Linked DNA regions of Styela clava. The protein of the gene in region 1 purifies or fractionates together with the protein of each later gene. This does not show direct contact. Links are inferred from orthologs where the notes say so. Each region holds a gene or a part of one and is shown in the gene's direction. Other genes may lie near its edges. The genes, in order: transcription initiation factor TFIID subunit 4-like and transcription initiation factor TFIID subunit 5-like.

The links.
Region 2: the proteins of transcription initiation factor TFIID subunit 4-like (region 1) and transcription initiation factor TFIID subunit 5-like purify together in Drosophila melanogaster (affinity purification with western blotting; 3 studies listed by BioGRID). This does not show direct contact. The link is inferred for Styela clava from reciprocal best matches to the Drosophila melanogaster genes Taf4 and Taf5.

What each region holds. Positions count from the first base shown.
Region 1 is NC_135262.1:5,622,869-5,630,256, reverse strand, and holds the start of transcription initiation factor TFIID subunit 4-like, read left to right. Parts: upstream 1-4,263; 5' UTR 4,264-4,298; coding exon 4,299-4,776; intron 4,777-5,460; coding exon 5,461-5,642; intron 5,643-6,236; coding exon 6,237-6,326; intron 6,327-6,959; coding exon 6,960-7,037; intron 7,038-7,388. Other genes in the region: protein LSM14 homolog B-like, read right to left, coding at 1-90, 732-907, 1,551-1,671. UniProt on the Drosophila melanogaster protein: TFIID is a multimeric protein complex that plays a central role in mediating promoter responses to various activators and repressors.
Region 2 is NC_135258.1:9,324,849-9,332,282, reverse strand, and holds the start of transcription initiation factor TFIID subunit 5-like, read left to right. Parts: upstream 1-4,421; 5' UTR 4,422-4,562; coding exon 4,563-4,767; intron 4,768-5,663; coding exon 5,664-5,775; intron 5,776-6,765; coding exon 6,766-6,912; intron 6,913-7,431; coding exon 7,432-7,434. Other genes in the region: TELO2-interacting protein 2-like, read left to right, coding at 1-25, 101-322, 851-1,021, 1,228-1,399, 1,483-1,572; protein MAK16 homolog, read right to left, coding at 1,651-1,797, 2,320-2,367, 2,444-2,617, 2,695-2,749, 3,441-3,657, 3,735-3,853, 3,941-3,990, 4,079-4,093. UniProt on the Drosophila melanogaster protein: TFIID is a multimeric protein complex that plays a central role in mediating promoter responses to various activators and repressors. May play a role in helping to anchor Taf4 within the TFIID complex.

The sequences.
Region 1 (7,388 bases):
CATTCCATATCCATACGGTGGCATGTATGGTGGCGGCATATGAGTTGGTGCATTAGGAGGCATTCCAGAATGCTGAGATGTCACAACAGACTGTAAGAGGAAACAAAGGTAAATGCAAAGAAAAGCTATAAATTATATATAGGATAGGCCTATATCATATATCTATTACGTAGACTTCAAGTCGAGGAACAATATATAATTACCATAAATTCACAAAAATAAGTCGTCATTTGATTGAAAATGTCATTACAGCAAAAAATTTGATTTGCTCTATTATACAAGACTAAAAAATAAATATATCTAGAAACAATAACTTTTGGGTGTAATTCCATGTGCTAAATTTTTATCTAGTGCAGTGACATGATAGTGGTGGTAATATACAATACACTTGGCTGGAAAGAGACAGGAAGTCAAAATTGTTTCATGTTAGAATTATAAGAACAGGGTCCAAAATAAATGAAATATATACTAAATTAGTTCTATTTGATATAATAAATGATTTAGGATAGTTTCACTTGAAAATTTGACATTTTCAAGTATTTGCCATCTGATGTTCAGACAAAAAATAAATTCCATTAAAGTTCTTGTACTATAAAAATAAAAAATTTGAAAAAGAACATTTCCAACTAATCTGCATTATCAAATTATATTATATCCAACTTGTTTCGAGTTAAAGACTCGTTCCACTCTGAAACTTGTATTTACTTTGAAGCAGATAAAATTCATTTCACCTGTACAATAGCAGGATCTTGTGGCAAAGAAGTCGTTGGTGGCTGCTGTGGCTTCGGAGGTTCACATACTGTCAGATCTTCTATGTCGCTTCCACGAAATATAATATATTCATATAAATCATCTCGTGGAGGGACTACACATTCGGTCTGCCGATCTTCTGTGCCAAATGATCGAACTGTAAATGGAATAAAATAAGTTTTTTCTTGGAAAATTGTGCCAAGCATTATATATCGGTAAAAACTCTAATAATAATACTCAATTAACTGACATATGCATAATACAAGATAATAAAAAATGGTGCAAAATTGGGAAACTATGATTATGCTTCATTTTAACTAAAATTGATGAATTGACTGATATATCACAGCATTAATATTCCTTTTATCTGGAATAGCGAATATAATAATTAGGCTTGTTTTTTCAAGTTAGAATGAGGCAGCTGGTAGCCGGAATGCAGGTATATTTTGCTTTGTATCTTCCATAAATTTAAGTGAAATCTGTGGTAAAGCCTATTACCACAATGGAAAGCATGGTATATTTCAGTTTTTGGCATCAGCATTTTGTCTGCAATACCTAGACCAGATTTTCAAGACTTCAAAAATATAATATTAATCATCCTTATTATCAATTCAATAATATAATGTATATTATTATGAAGTCAGGAAGTATAATATTTTGCAGTTTAATTTATACAATATATAAATTTTTGCTACATATAATCAATATTCCTCAAGTAAAATTTATAATAAAACTCGAATAAATAAATTGTGTAACGAACATCATAAATTGACAAATTTATAAGGAAACGTAAAATATACCTTTTGCCAGAGCAACTGTAGCATTTTCAGCATCAATCGTGAACAAAATTCCTTCATAACGGATTTTTGCCTTTGATATCAAACTAATCCTACTGCCGATATATGGAGTTCCACAACTCATATCGCCAAAAAACTAGGAGGTAAAAATTATGAAATATTTTTATAGTTTTTAAGAGTTACCAAACACATCTCAGTATCTGCACATACAGACATAAAAGATTTCCAAGAGAACGAGAGAGACAGGTTTTTATTTCCAAACTCTGTCATTATGGTACATTTTTTTATTTACAAATCCAGTCTACATATGTGCTGCAGTCCATTAAGAACTAACAAACTAAGTTTGAGATAAACAATGATTTCCCAATTTGCACTGCTGAACAGCAAATATCACATCCCACTACGGTATTTAAAAAGCAAATAACCAATGTGACACCACCTGACACGGATAGCCAAATAACTTCAGAGCTTGTTTTCATTAAAGCTGTATTACCATTGATACTATTCCGAGTATATTAAATCTCAGAGAAAAGTCCTGCCTCGTGTAAATTAACAAGAAAGAAACGATAACTAACAGTTTGATTTCCTACCAATTTGAAATAGCGACAACGGATAAGGCATGAAAACACTTCATGACCCGCGTTCAGATTGTATGACGCGTTGCTCTTAATCGCGCTCTAGTGTTCGTCTGAAAATCCATTTTTTCTTTTTTCTGTGATATAATGAAAAATGAAAATGAGAGAAAAAGAAAAAAGCAAAATTTGAGGACCGCGGTGTGAACCACTTGTTATATATGAAGGGGGTGTCAGCGGAGACTTGTTTTATAACGTAAATACACTGATATTTGTTTATTCGATTAAAAAGATTGTTGTATAACATAAATTTACATTTGCAATACAATAAAAATTAAAAAAAAAATTCATAATACAATGTTTTTAATTTTTCATATGACCGTACTTCATTTTAAAACACGATCCATTCCCTTGAATCGGAAAATGATGACGCATGCGCACTTCATTCTTGTTGTGAAGGCCGTGGAGTAGTGATGGCGCCCAACGGGTCGCTGCGCTTCATTCGCGCCCGAGGTTTCGAGGTGTGCATTTGGGAGTTGTGAGTTGGTGGAGCTAATGGCCCACTGAACGATCATATAGTTAGTTGCTAAATACATTTTTTTACTGATATGTTTATAGTTGTAAAGGGTGCTTGACCTGTTTCGAATATTATTGTCAGTCGTTTATACATCAACTTTCAGCATTTCTTTTAATAATCCTGTAACTGTGTAATGCAAAAGAAGTGTCTTGTGATATAGGATTCTTGACATGTTGTTGTTTGACAGAGCACAACAATCAAGTACCAAGGTACAAGATAATACAAGTATTGGGTAACATATCTGGGTGATAGTGACCTATTGCACGACCAGTATTTAATATCTGAATATACAGATAGGCATATGAAACTACAGAAATCAGGAAATATCTGTTCAATTATGACAGTACTGCAGTATGAAGAATACTTTTATGTAAGGGTGTAGCCTATCTAGTATAATGGTTATGTATAGCAGTGCAGTCATACCGATATGGTATTGTCTAAAACCACTTTTAGACTTGTTAATATTGTTAATTTTTCATATCATATTGCTCTATTGGGGTATTTTTAATTTGCCCGATCTGTCTGTCAAACCCCTCAGGTTTGGATCGAGCATAGCATGTGGTAGCATTGCACTTAACGGGTCTAGTATAGTTTAGTACCACAAGAACTTCCAGTGGGCGTAACATAACGAAATTTGCGTATGTTATTCCTAATCCCCACCTGACTATACCATCCAAAAATTACATCACTACGACGTCACAATCACATAATGGAGCTTGCCAAAGTACAGTTACAATCACCCGAAATGTCATCTGCGCCGCCCATAATGAACTCACTAACGCCCGCGATCTCTCTCATAGCGTGATCGTTGTGGCGAGAAAACATGATGGATAGCTTGCTTGATTTTGAGTGATCGTCTGCGCGTTCCGCATACTTTGTAGGGACTTTTAAGCCACTGTGACAGATTTTTTTGGTGACGCAGTCAGGCGGGGATTGGGAATGACATTCAAAAATTGTTGAGCCAGACCAACTAGAAGTGCATGTGGTACTAAGCTATACCAGACCCACACAAGTAATAGATAGGATAGAATTTATATATTTATCCCGGGGGAGAGGAAAGACGGCTTATCCATATGTCGAACCACGGCCTCTCGTCCGGTTACCATTCAAAGTCGGGTATGGAATTAGTTATATTGTTTGTTTTCGGAAGCATGGACCTGGTGGTGGAGGAAGCCGTAACCGACCAGCGGTTACGTGAACTACCCAACGACGGCGAGGAGTCCAGCAATCCTCTCGCACATAACCATCCCTGCATGGGATTCGAACCTGCGAACCCACGCAGAGTAATTAGAGGTGCGGTGGCTAGCGTATTCCTAACGCTTAGCTCGTTGAGCCACACCGCTGCGCCAAACACCGCATCGCTCAGTCATTTACTCATGTATATATCAAGTTTATTGCACCTTTACAATTCCACAAATAAATGCAACTTTTTTATTTCTCTCTGTGGGATTGCGATTAAATGACTAAGGTCTTTTTCGAGAGATTCTAATCCAGATCTCAATGCAAAGATTTATTTTAAGAACTTGCAATCGTAGTCAAAAATTAATTCTAAATATATTTTTTCAAGGTGATGTATAGATCTAAGCTGTTTTGTTCAATGCAATGAGGGTTAGCCCACCTGGATCGACGGACACAGTTCTCACATCTTCATCAAGTACCCCAAACACGTTGAACAGCTATAATTCTGGAATGAATAGTTTACCTCCATTTTCTGCAGCAAAAAACGGAGTACAGCAGGTCAGGACTGCTAGCCCGGTCACCTCTCAGCAGCAAGGGATGCTTAATGACTGGTCAACAGGTCTAAATGAGGGCTATGGGGCCCCAACCCCACAACAGCCGACCCTAGTTTTAAATTCACAGTTGCCTAAAGCATCCACACCTGTGGCAAAACAATTAACGACTCTGACCACAGTAAATAAAATTCCACAACCAGGAATGCAGCAATCAAATACTGGTTTGCAAAATAATTTATTGAATCCTACATCGAAGGCTCAAGTTTCTACGACTCAGCCAATGGTGACTGCGCGTCCTCAACAAGGTGGTGCAGTGCAACTAGCATCTGGGATAACTATTCCTCCAGGTTAATTTGATTTCTACTTTTTATCTAATTCCTTTTTCATACGCTATGCAGTCACAATGGTACATAATTATGTACTGGAAACTCTCATGGACTATTGTTATTGGGTCAAAGGTTCCTAAGTTTTTAATACGACAATGCAGTGGATGAAGAATTTATTTTTTTCAAACTTAAATAATAAAATTAAAAGTTTTAAAATATATTCAAACTTAACTATTACGATACATGAAGCTTGTTTTCATGCACATGTCCTTAGCTGTACTGTTTCACCACGATAATTTTCCATCATTATTCAAGCTTGAATATTACAGCGACAGAAAACCAGTCTAATACAAGTTGGATGTGGCAAAAGGGATCAAAACCCCCTGGAACAGGCTTAGCTATATATACTGAAAGTTAATATGTCCCCTTTTCTTATTTTTTCAATTAAGTGAACTGTATTTTACTATCAAGCATTACATTCCTATATAAAGAGTTATGTTCCACACAATATCATAAGCCCTCGAATGTGGAACTGATTGAAAGTTGTTGAGCATCGATACAGGGCTGTTAGTGAACATGCTGAGCCTATCTACACGCTGGTTATATGGTTTGATGGAGCTTTTTTCTTGATTTACTTCCTGTATGATGAATGATCTGTGCTTTTCGCTGATTTCCCATATTACTTTTGATTCCAACCGTATACAGGTATGGTTCTAGCAAGACATCAGAATGGACAGTTGCTGCTTGTGAGTAGTAATTCGTTGTCATCGTCATCTACTACAAATACATCCACAGTTCCTGTAACTCAGACCGCAACATCTGGGACCGTAACAACGTTGAAAAATTCGACAACAGCAGGTGTTGGGACATCATCACCTCAACCCGCAGTAAGTATTAAAGTTGATAACAAAGCAAAGATCAATTATAAGTGCCCAGATTTTAAATGAATACTGGAATTTTAGCAAAATTTCTGACATTTTTTTTTAGTAATTGTAGGTGTTTCACAGATGTCATATAACAGTATTTCTGTGAATTGGAAAAAAAACAGCAAAATTTTGAGTAGGACAAAATTTGAGCAAAATAGAAGTAATAGCCTCCTAGGGACTTATTCCACATTGAAGTACTGAAATATGATTTTATTAGGTCTATTAGTTGCAAGAAAACAACAATTACAATAGTTAGCAAAATGGTACATGTACTCTTTCTACCCAATAAGGGAATTTTGAAAACACCTGCCTCAAATTTTTTGTAAACATTTCTGTATGTTTTATTCTGCAAATGTTTTGCACAAATCAAAATCTTACCACGATTATGTAAATTTGCTTTTATCGTATGAAACACAATCGAGCAACTTTTTATTGCTAATTTCCATTCCATTCTTTTGACAATTTGTTTCATATCGTCTTCTTACAAAAAAAGTCAAAGCCAGGCTCAACAGAATAAAGGATGAAAAAATCTATTGATTCCATTTTTCTATTAAGATAACTGCAACAACAGCTGGTCAGGTGGTAGCAAGAACAGTGGTTCCAGTTACAAATTCAATTAACCTTAAAGCTGTTGCTGCTAAGCAAGTAAGTATGGAATGTATTTTTCACAAAGTTTTTCAAGTTATATTTATTTTATGCCCAGTATCAGTAACTCGTCTGTAATATCTTCCTTTCCATTAATACATTGTGAAATCATGGCATATCTTTGTTTATTAATAATAATAATGATTTTTCTTTTTTGATTGATTATATTAATAAGATTTATTAATTATTTGTGATTTTATGCCCAGATGATATAATATGTTGTCTAAAACCCAATAATTTACCATTCTGAAATAATATTTCCAAATATGGAATACCGAATACGTTCTGAAATGGGCCATGTCTACAGTGAAAATCACTCAGACTGTTAATAGAAGTTAAATTTGTTAATTAGCTCATCTGTGTCCTACCAAGTTCAAATGCATTCTAATACTCCATTTGTTTTCGGACACCCCTGATCTCACAGAATTCACCACTTATTGCATGAAACTTCAATTGTTTCTTAGCAATTTGCACTTAGAGTGGATTCTGCCATAATGAGTCTCTAATAGTTACCAATATACAGCATTATCTACTGTCTTTGTCTGCAAGACTTTGTTTTATATTTTTCTTATCATGTACTGATCATAAATATTTTGATCTGAATCTTTTTTTCACCAAAACATTACTTTTCAGACGGTTGCTGTCAGTAAAGTATCTACCACAAGTCCAGCGACAACACCACAGAATTCTCAATCTATAACGCTATCTCAGGTATAAGAAGTCTGATGTTCTTCACTGATTAACATCTTCTTGTAAATTCATTATCTACGAATGCAGCGTAACAAATAACAAGGCTAATATCATTTATTTGTAACTGTTGAAATCATATCTTTATACAACCAAATACTGTTCCCAATCAATTAAATCCGAAAGCCTTTGGCAGTGAATGAGGTGTTATTGTATTACTATGTGATTGCTCAAACGGGATAGACATAATAGCAATAGACTTCTTGCATAGCACCTTATCATATTTTACTCGTTGTATACTTGAATAGACGGTCCACACAACCGGCCCTCAACCAGGGGGCCATGGCTTACTGCTGAGCCACAGAATCTTTTTAA
Region 2 (7,434 bases), on another chromosome or scaffold:
ATGAAGTCCCCCCAGCTGAAATAAGGTGGGTAAGATACAGACGGAAATAGCCAATGCTTAGAATATATAAGTTAACGACTACTGCGTTGAAATCATTCAGGTTCAGAGGGAGAGCAGAAGTGATTCATGATGCCTTGGTGAAAAAGTTGTATACCAGAGATTCTGACGTCTCCAAAGTTCTGATTTCGTGTATTATGCAATCTCTGGATTGCTTAGAATCTGAAATGATGCGGAAGCGTGGATGCAGTATTCCAAGGCATGATGAGTGCTTTGAAATTGTTCTGAATAACTTTCATTTGTCGAGTGACAATTTAGTGAAAAGGTGAATTATATTTGATTTACGAAATAAAACCATTGATAAGGATGAATTTTTAATAAACATTTAGTCCTCAATTACATTATGATTAGATCATGGGTGAAATTATTGCTAAATAAAAATAACATAATTTCTTTCCACAAAATATCAAGTATATTTATGAGCTTTCGTTAGTTAGATCACAGTCTAACTTCTTCAGATAACACAAGATATTGCTTCGTGGAAGAAGATTAAGTTATTTTTATTTATCTTCATAATACTATCTCAGTCACGCATCCTGGTACAGATCCGTAATAGAAAGTAAACAAGAAGAAAGTACCTGCAGTTAAATACCCTAGTACACCTGAAATTATTGGGTTGACAAAAAATTAGAATTTTCATCTCTTTTGAAAGTTCTAGTAACAGGGAAAGTCACTTCTCAAACTTTATATGCCAAATATTTTTAGCTTTTAGCATTGGATGATATTTGTTGTCTGCATCTATTAAACAGCTACGGCTGACCTGGTAATTCGAAACATCTTCTGTACCTTCCAGAGTTTATTCCTCTGCACTGCCTTTCTTTGTATCAAGAATGGGAATTCAAAGTATTGGTCATATTAAGAAAATTATAATTGTTCTGGATTACGGAATAGAAAGTACCGATATTCAAACAATGTTGAGCTGCATTGACGTAATTTCAAAAATGGTTGATGCCGCATGGCCAAGGTGAGTGAAGTCTTACTGATCGAATATCATAGGACTACATTTACCTGCTTGCAAGTATATGAAAGAGAATGTAGGGGGAGAATGTATGCTATTTAAACGCAAGATTAAAATCAATTATTATTCTGCTATATTGATGATAGGTATATTCAAAAACTATCCTGTACTACTAGTCTTTATCATTCTAATACAATTTGTCATTCTCTTAGACTAGAACATCACTGTGAAGCAATGTTAAGATTTCTAATAAGAGCACTTTATAACCTGGAAAATGATGATTGGAGGTGGAAAGGATGCAATGAAAATGGGAAAAAGAAAATCGTGAATGCCATCATTGACACAACGATGAAACTTTCAATGCTTTCTAAAGAACTTATCCTGGTAGGTCCATGATTTCAGGATCAAATGAATCATAATTTCTCGCACTTTTTTTAATATACCATATTGATCATTTATGCAAACAGGAGACTGCACAGATGTTAGAAGCTGAAACAGATCTGGCGTTAAGTCAATATGGCAAAAAAATCCAACAACTGATTGCCACCTCTGCTTAGTCCAGTCTATATCGTGGAGATGGTATTTCATCACATTGGGAATAGTTGCACATTTTGAGCATTGTCATAATCCGTGTTTCAAAAAGTTAGTGCCTCTCTTTTAGTTTTACTTGTACTGGGTTCAGTTTCATATTCTATTTCTAAATGTTTTCTTTTCGATGCAGATTTTGTTTCCTTCTCGGTTTCCTCTTCAGACTCTCCTTCTGATGTCAGATCTTCAATATCCTGATGAAAGAATGATATCAAGAATCATGTCCATGAATTTTTGCTAATCTCAATCATATTCTAGCTTACTGTTAGCAATTTATTTTGGCATAAGCTAGAAAATTATTAGTGGAATATACATATACAACACTGATCCGAATTCTTGAACATCAAAGATAAATAGATTCGTGCAGTTACAAGCAACTTATAGACATTTTCATATACATATGCAAGACACTGATTATTTCATCATATAGTAGTATAGCATGTCAGAAACCATAAAGGTAGAATTACAGACAGGCAAGCATAAATTCAATTGAGGCCAACATGGCCTGACTTTTGGAAAGTTAGTGTATGTATTGAGTGGCTTTATTTCATCAAAAGATACGAAAATCTATAGAGCTAACTAACGCCAAAGCACATCTTTGCAACGCCGGGAAAGGCATATTTAGTCCTGAAAATTTAGGGTAGGTAGAAATTAAACGAAACTTCATGTATTCATTGTTACTGATTACAAAATAGACAGATATAAATAAATCTCACCTCTAGATCACTTTCATCCACTTCGTCATCAGCTACATATTCCACCTCCTGTGATGAAAATAACTCAAATTTAGATTACTCAGGAAATACCAGAGCAAAAGTTTCATTTTTGAACAAACATTACCGCCTGAGTTTCTTCCTCGTCTTCACTCTCAGACTCGGCTTCATCTTTTTGTAAAGCTCTATCAAATGCAGTGACTGATACATTATAAATATCTCCATACGTTCCTTGCTTTAATCTTTCCAATAATTCTTTTTCTATTGCATTCTCCAATTGTGCAGCAACTAACGCTTTTTGCTGAAAAGATGAAATAAAAATGATTAGTTTAACAGAATTTTTCTTGGTAAGTGAATTCAATAATAAATTAGTCATACTTCCCGCCTTGCTTCTCTTCGTTCTACTTTCCGACTCAAAGGCACTAATTTTTTCCTGAAAATATTAAAAACAGATTTATCCTTTAAAACACAAGTGCAGTTTCAAGTATTTTGTGGCGTCTAGAGCTGTCGCAAATCCATAGCCGCTATGACCAATAGCGCTACTGACTTTTTAGCTGCCACAAACCAATAGCAAGCTGCCGTGGATACGGCAGCAAATCGAATACCACCAATTTTGCTGCTGAACCACGGCATGTAAATGTTGGGTAAGTTGAAACGCTTTATTTATGAATACAGTTTTGATGTATTTGGGGTTAGGTTTAGGTTCAAGTAGTTATATTTCCGCATGATAAACTAAAATATTGTACATGACTTTGTAAATATACAGGTAATAGCGCCATAAAACCATGGCAAGAGACGCCGCAGTACATTCGTGGCAGGAGCTGCCATGAAGTGGTAAGAACTACGCTTCTTCAAACATGTATGATTTTTTTCTATTCAATATCATTAATACTCAATTCGGGCTGTTTACTTTAAGAGTGTTGACTTATTTCTATGGTAGATGATTGAAGAAGACTCGCTTAGGTTGAGTTTCCCCTAATATTGCCTGACCATCAAGCCCTCAATTTGACTGTTTGGTCAATAATTAAACTTCATGCGATGCAGTAACACTTATTAAATATATTATTTGATTTTGTAAAATATTGATTGGGAAATATTTATTGAGCTACAATAAATATACTTACTGCCTTCGTAAAGTTAACTTTCGAATTCTGATCAAATATTGATATATCTTTGTGAAGCGTTGTTTACACTTATGTCTTAAAAAGTACGGCCAATATACTAAATTTTCATCAATTTGTTCCAATGCTTTTTCATAGTTTCTTGATAGCTTTACTTTTTCCCATAATCTTCCAGGAAAAGCTGCTCTTTCAATTGTCTTCATATAAAGATAACAAACACCTAGAGTAACATTTTAAAATATTTATTATTACAACATAAGGCTATTATAGGAAATGTGAAAATACTACATTACAAACCTTTCTCTTCTTTTATAGTAGCATACTGGCTGTTAGCCAACGGGCATGAGCCCCTGTTGCAAAGTCCCGTCAAATTATATTCATTTTTACAAAATCTTTGTGTTTTTGATGTGATTGCTCTGAAAAAAGATATTATAAAATGAAGCTGTTCTGAACATACTGATGGAAATGAAGGGTGGTATTCATTAGACAGAAAACACACTTACTTTGCTTTATAGGAGCAAAATTGCTTGTTTCCAATGACATCCCAAATAACCTGTAAAAAACGTTCAATAGATTGTCATGTCGTAGATTGTAAGATTATTGAAGGCATTAGGGTGACTGAAGAAAAATAAATTACTTACATCGTCGTGTTGCATCTTCCACCAACGTCAACTCGATCAAAGTCTCACAAAATTGCAATCAAATCGAAGTTGTGGCGACCCACATTATAAATAATGATATACCCAACATGTGTTGACTAAGGCGTCATAATTTTATGCCACTGGTATCGTTTTAGCGTCTTTCATGATTTCAAAAATAAGGAAATTGCAGATAACATGATTTACATGCGCAAAATTTATTAAGTTTTTTTATTTAAAAAATACTAATTAATTTAAAAATCTTTCATTCTATTTTGATTTTTTTTTGTTACCTTGTTACCTTAAAATGCCTGTGACGCGATTACGGTGCCACAAAAGATAACCTCCGGTGTTTTGCGCTCTGATTCTGTATTTCGCGTTTGATGAATGAATAGCGTTGTTTAGGGTTTACAATCCGATTGGTTTATTGCTTCGTTTCTAGTTTGTATGGACAGCTATACGGGTTTGTATACAGAAAACGGATATAATGGAATCTGTATTTGCAAATGTGCCCGCGTTACCTGTTAAAATGGAAGTCACGGAATGCATTTCTACCACGAATGAAACTAAGGTTACTGAGACCCCAACAAATGAAAATCAGAAAACACTTTTAGCTGTTCTTCAGTTTTTGAAGAAAAATAACTTGGGAACAACGGCAGCTATGCTGGAAAAGGAGTCTTCAAAACTTACAGGTAACAAAATATGTAGATTATCGCTAGTAAAATGCTGAAATCCAATACCACTTGCTGGATATTTGAATAAGTATAAGTTTATTTCGACTCCATAATCAACATAACAAACGATAAAATAAATATTTGTAAAAAAGATGACATCACAAAAATGAGAAATTGCTAGACAATGCCTTAATTTTGTAAGATGTAATTTTCCATGCGATTTTTATTTTTTATTAAATAATCGTATTTGCTACGCCGACTTTATGCATTTGCACCCCCACAACTAATCGATCGACTAACGAAAAAGTAATGATTCTCTGCTGCCCACTGACGGCTCGTTGGAAAGCTTATTTAAAGAGCTTGCAATTGGCGATTAAAAATTTTTTTTAAAAGGGGTGGTCTGAGTCACAAACCGGATAGAAAAAAGGCATTTTTTTTTCTTGGGAGTTGAAAATTCAAACCGTGATAAAAAATAGAAATATTCGCTAAATCCTTTACTGTTACCGCTTCGTGGTTGGCAAACAATAGCATAATATTGCTGTAGCAATTTCGTGATCTAACTCAAAATACTTTGGTAGATGGAAGGGATAATATGTCTTCTATTACCATCCAAAAAACACCAAAATTTGCATAAATTTCAAAAACACTCCCTCGTTCCGCCGCAAATAAAATTCCCGTCGTAAACGAAAGCGAGATTTACCACTGCTTATGTTAATCTCGAAGATGACTTCTTATCAATAAACTAAAATCCGGAAAAACTAGACCAACAGTTTGCGACCGATTGCTAAATAAAACAGTGGAGTACATCAACGTACCCGCCGCAATCTAGCGACTTTTGTCGTTGGTACGTATACGTGCCTACCGCACGGAAAGGGTTAATAAATTTGATTTATTTAACTTTACTTGTTTTTCAGGTTCTGACGGACTTCCATCTGATAGCAAAAATTTTAGTACATCTGATGTTTCATCACTACTTTCCACTTATTCCAATCAAGCTGATCCTTCAAGTTACCAAGATAGTTATAGGTAAAATAATCAAAAAAAACATATAGGATATACTTATTTAGATTCTTAACTCTATACACCCAACTCGCTCCTCGTACTTGGGCTTCGTGTTGGAGAGCTTCGCATGAACCCGTTTATTTTGTGGTAATTTTATATTCTTAGAATTTATTCATATTGCAAGGTTGCCGTTGACAAGTAGATCGAATAGTCATTTCACGGTTATTCTGTCCCTTCCAAGCAAAGACATGACTGACTATATACAGATCTCTTATTTTGATTTTATTGTGCTTTTTCTGAGCGATTTGATTGATTGCTTGACTCGAGTCATTGACTAAACTTGAGTGGGTGTCAGGTGTTTCAATTTTTCAAAGTAAAGGAAAAAATGAATGCGTAAATTAGGAGCTTTGCAAGGGAATGGTGGCAATGCTGGCAACAATATGCGGCTCACGCTCGCACGGAAGATAACAACCAATCAAAGATTTGATTCTATGTCATTGTCATTTCAGAAATTGTGATAAATAATTTTTGATTTGGACTTTCATACTTATTCTTATTTACATACTTTTGATACTATTACTACTCTTTTTATTTGTTTCTTCTATTCATTTATTTTTTTTATCTTTTTAAGGTGTTGTAGACTCGATGCCGGATCATTCCGTCCTTCACAGCACTTGTCATTTCAATATTTATTTATGACAAATTTTTGTTCTTGATTGATTGTTTTTTGAAGTGACAAATAAAATAACTCGACTCTTACGAAAAAATAGAAGCATTACCACTCTGACAGCAATCTGCGGACATAAAATGTGTCATAAATAGCCAGATTGATGACAGTTGTAGATGACAGTTATTCCACTGTTTTGCAAATTCCTCCTAAGAAAAGCTTCTATTGCTTGGTTTTATTTTCGAATAAATTCAATATTGCATATTCAAAAATAATAATTTTGAATGTATTCGAAAGAGTGAATTATTTGTTATTGTCTATGAGATTCTATCCTCTTATATTTGTAGAATGTTAAAGCAGTTCATCGAATCAAATTTGGACTCACATAAATGGGAATTAGCTCAAGTATTATATCCAGTATTTGTTCATATGTATCTAGAACTCTTATACAATAATCATGCGGAAAAGGCAAAGTTATTTTTTCTACAATACAGGTGATTAAGCAAGTTGTATAGACGGTCAATCATGTTTATAGTAGATATGACCACTTTTTAATTTTTGATTCAATTGAAGTGAATGCAGTTTTTGATCCTAGAATACTTTTATAAAAATTGCTCAAATATAATGTGAACTTGGAGTGATACAATTTGTTTCAAGCTATTTTCCAGTTGATAAATTTTTTTGGGGGTCACTAAGATGTTAGGAGAAATGAACGTAGTAATTTAGAATTATTTCCTTTTCATAAATCACAATTAAATGCATTATTTTTGCAACTTCTCCACTTTACTCAGAAAGAGGCTGTGAAATAAAAATAAAGAATATGATAGAAGAATCTCTACTTCAAACATACAATAGAAAGATATATATTTCTTCCTGTGACTTAAAATACCAAGTTAATTAGAAACATGAAACACTTCAAGTCTGCACTGTTAGGAAATTCGACAAAGCAGAAGTTCTACAATTGAGAAATTTTTCTCGGGGTTAATTAAAAAATTCCTTTCCTTATTCTTTAGTGG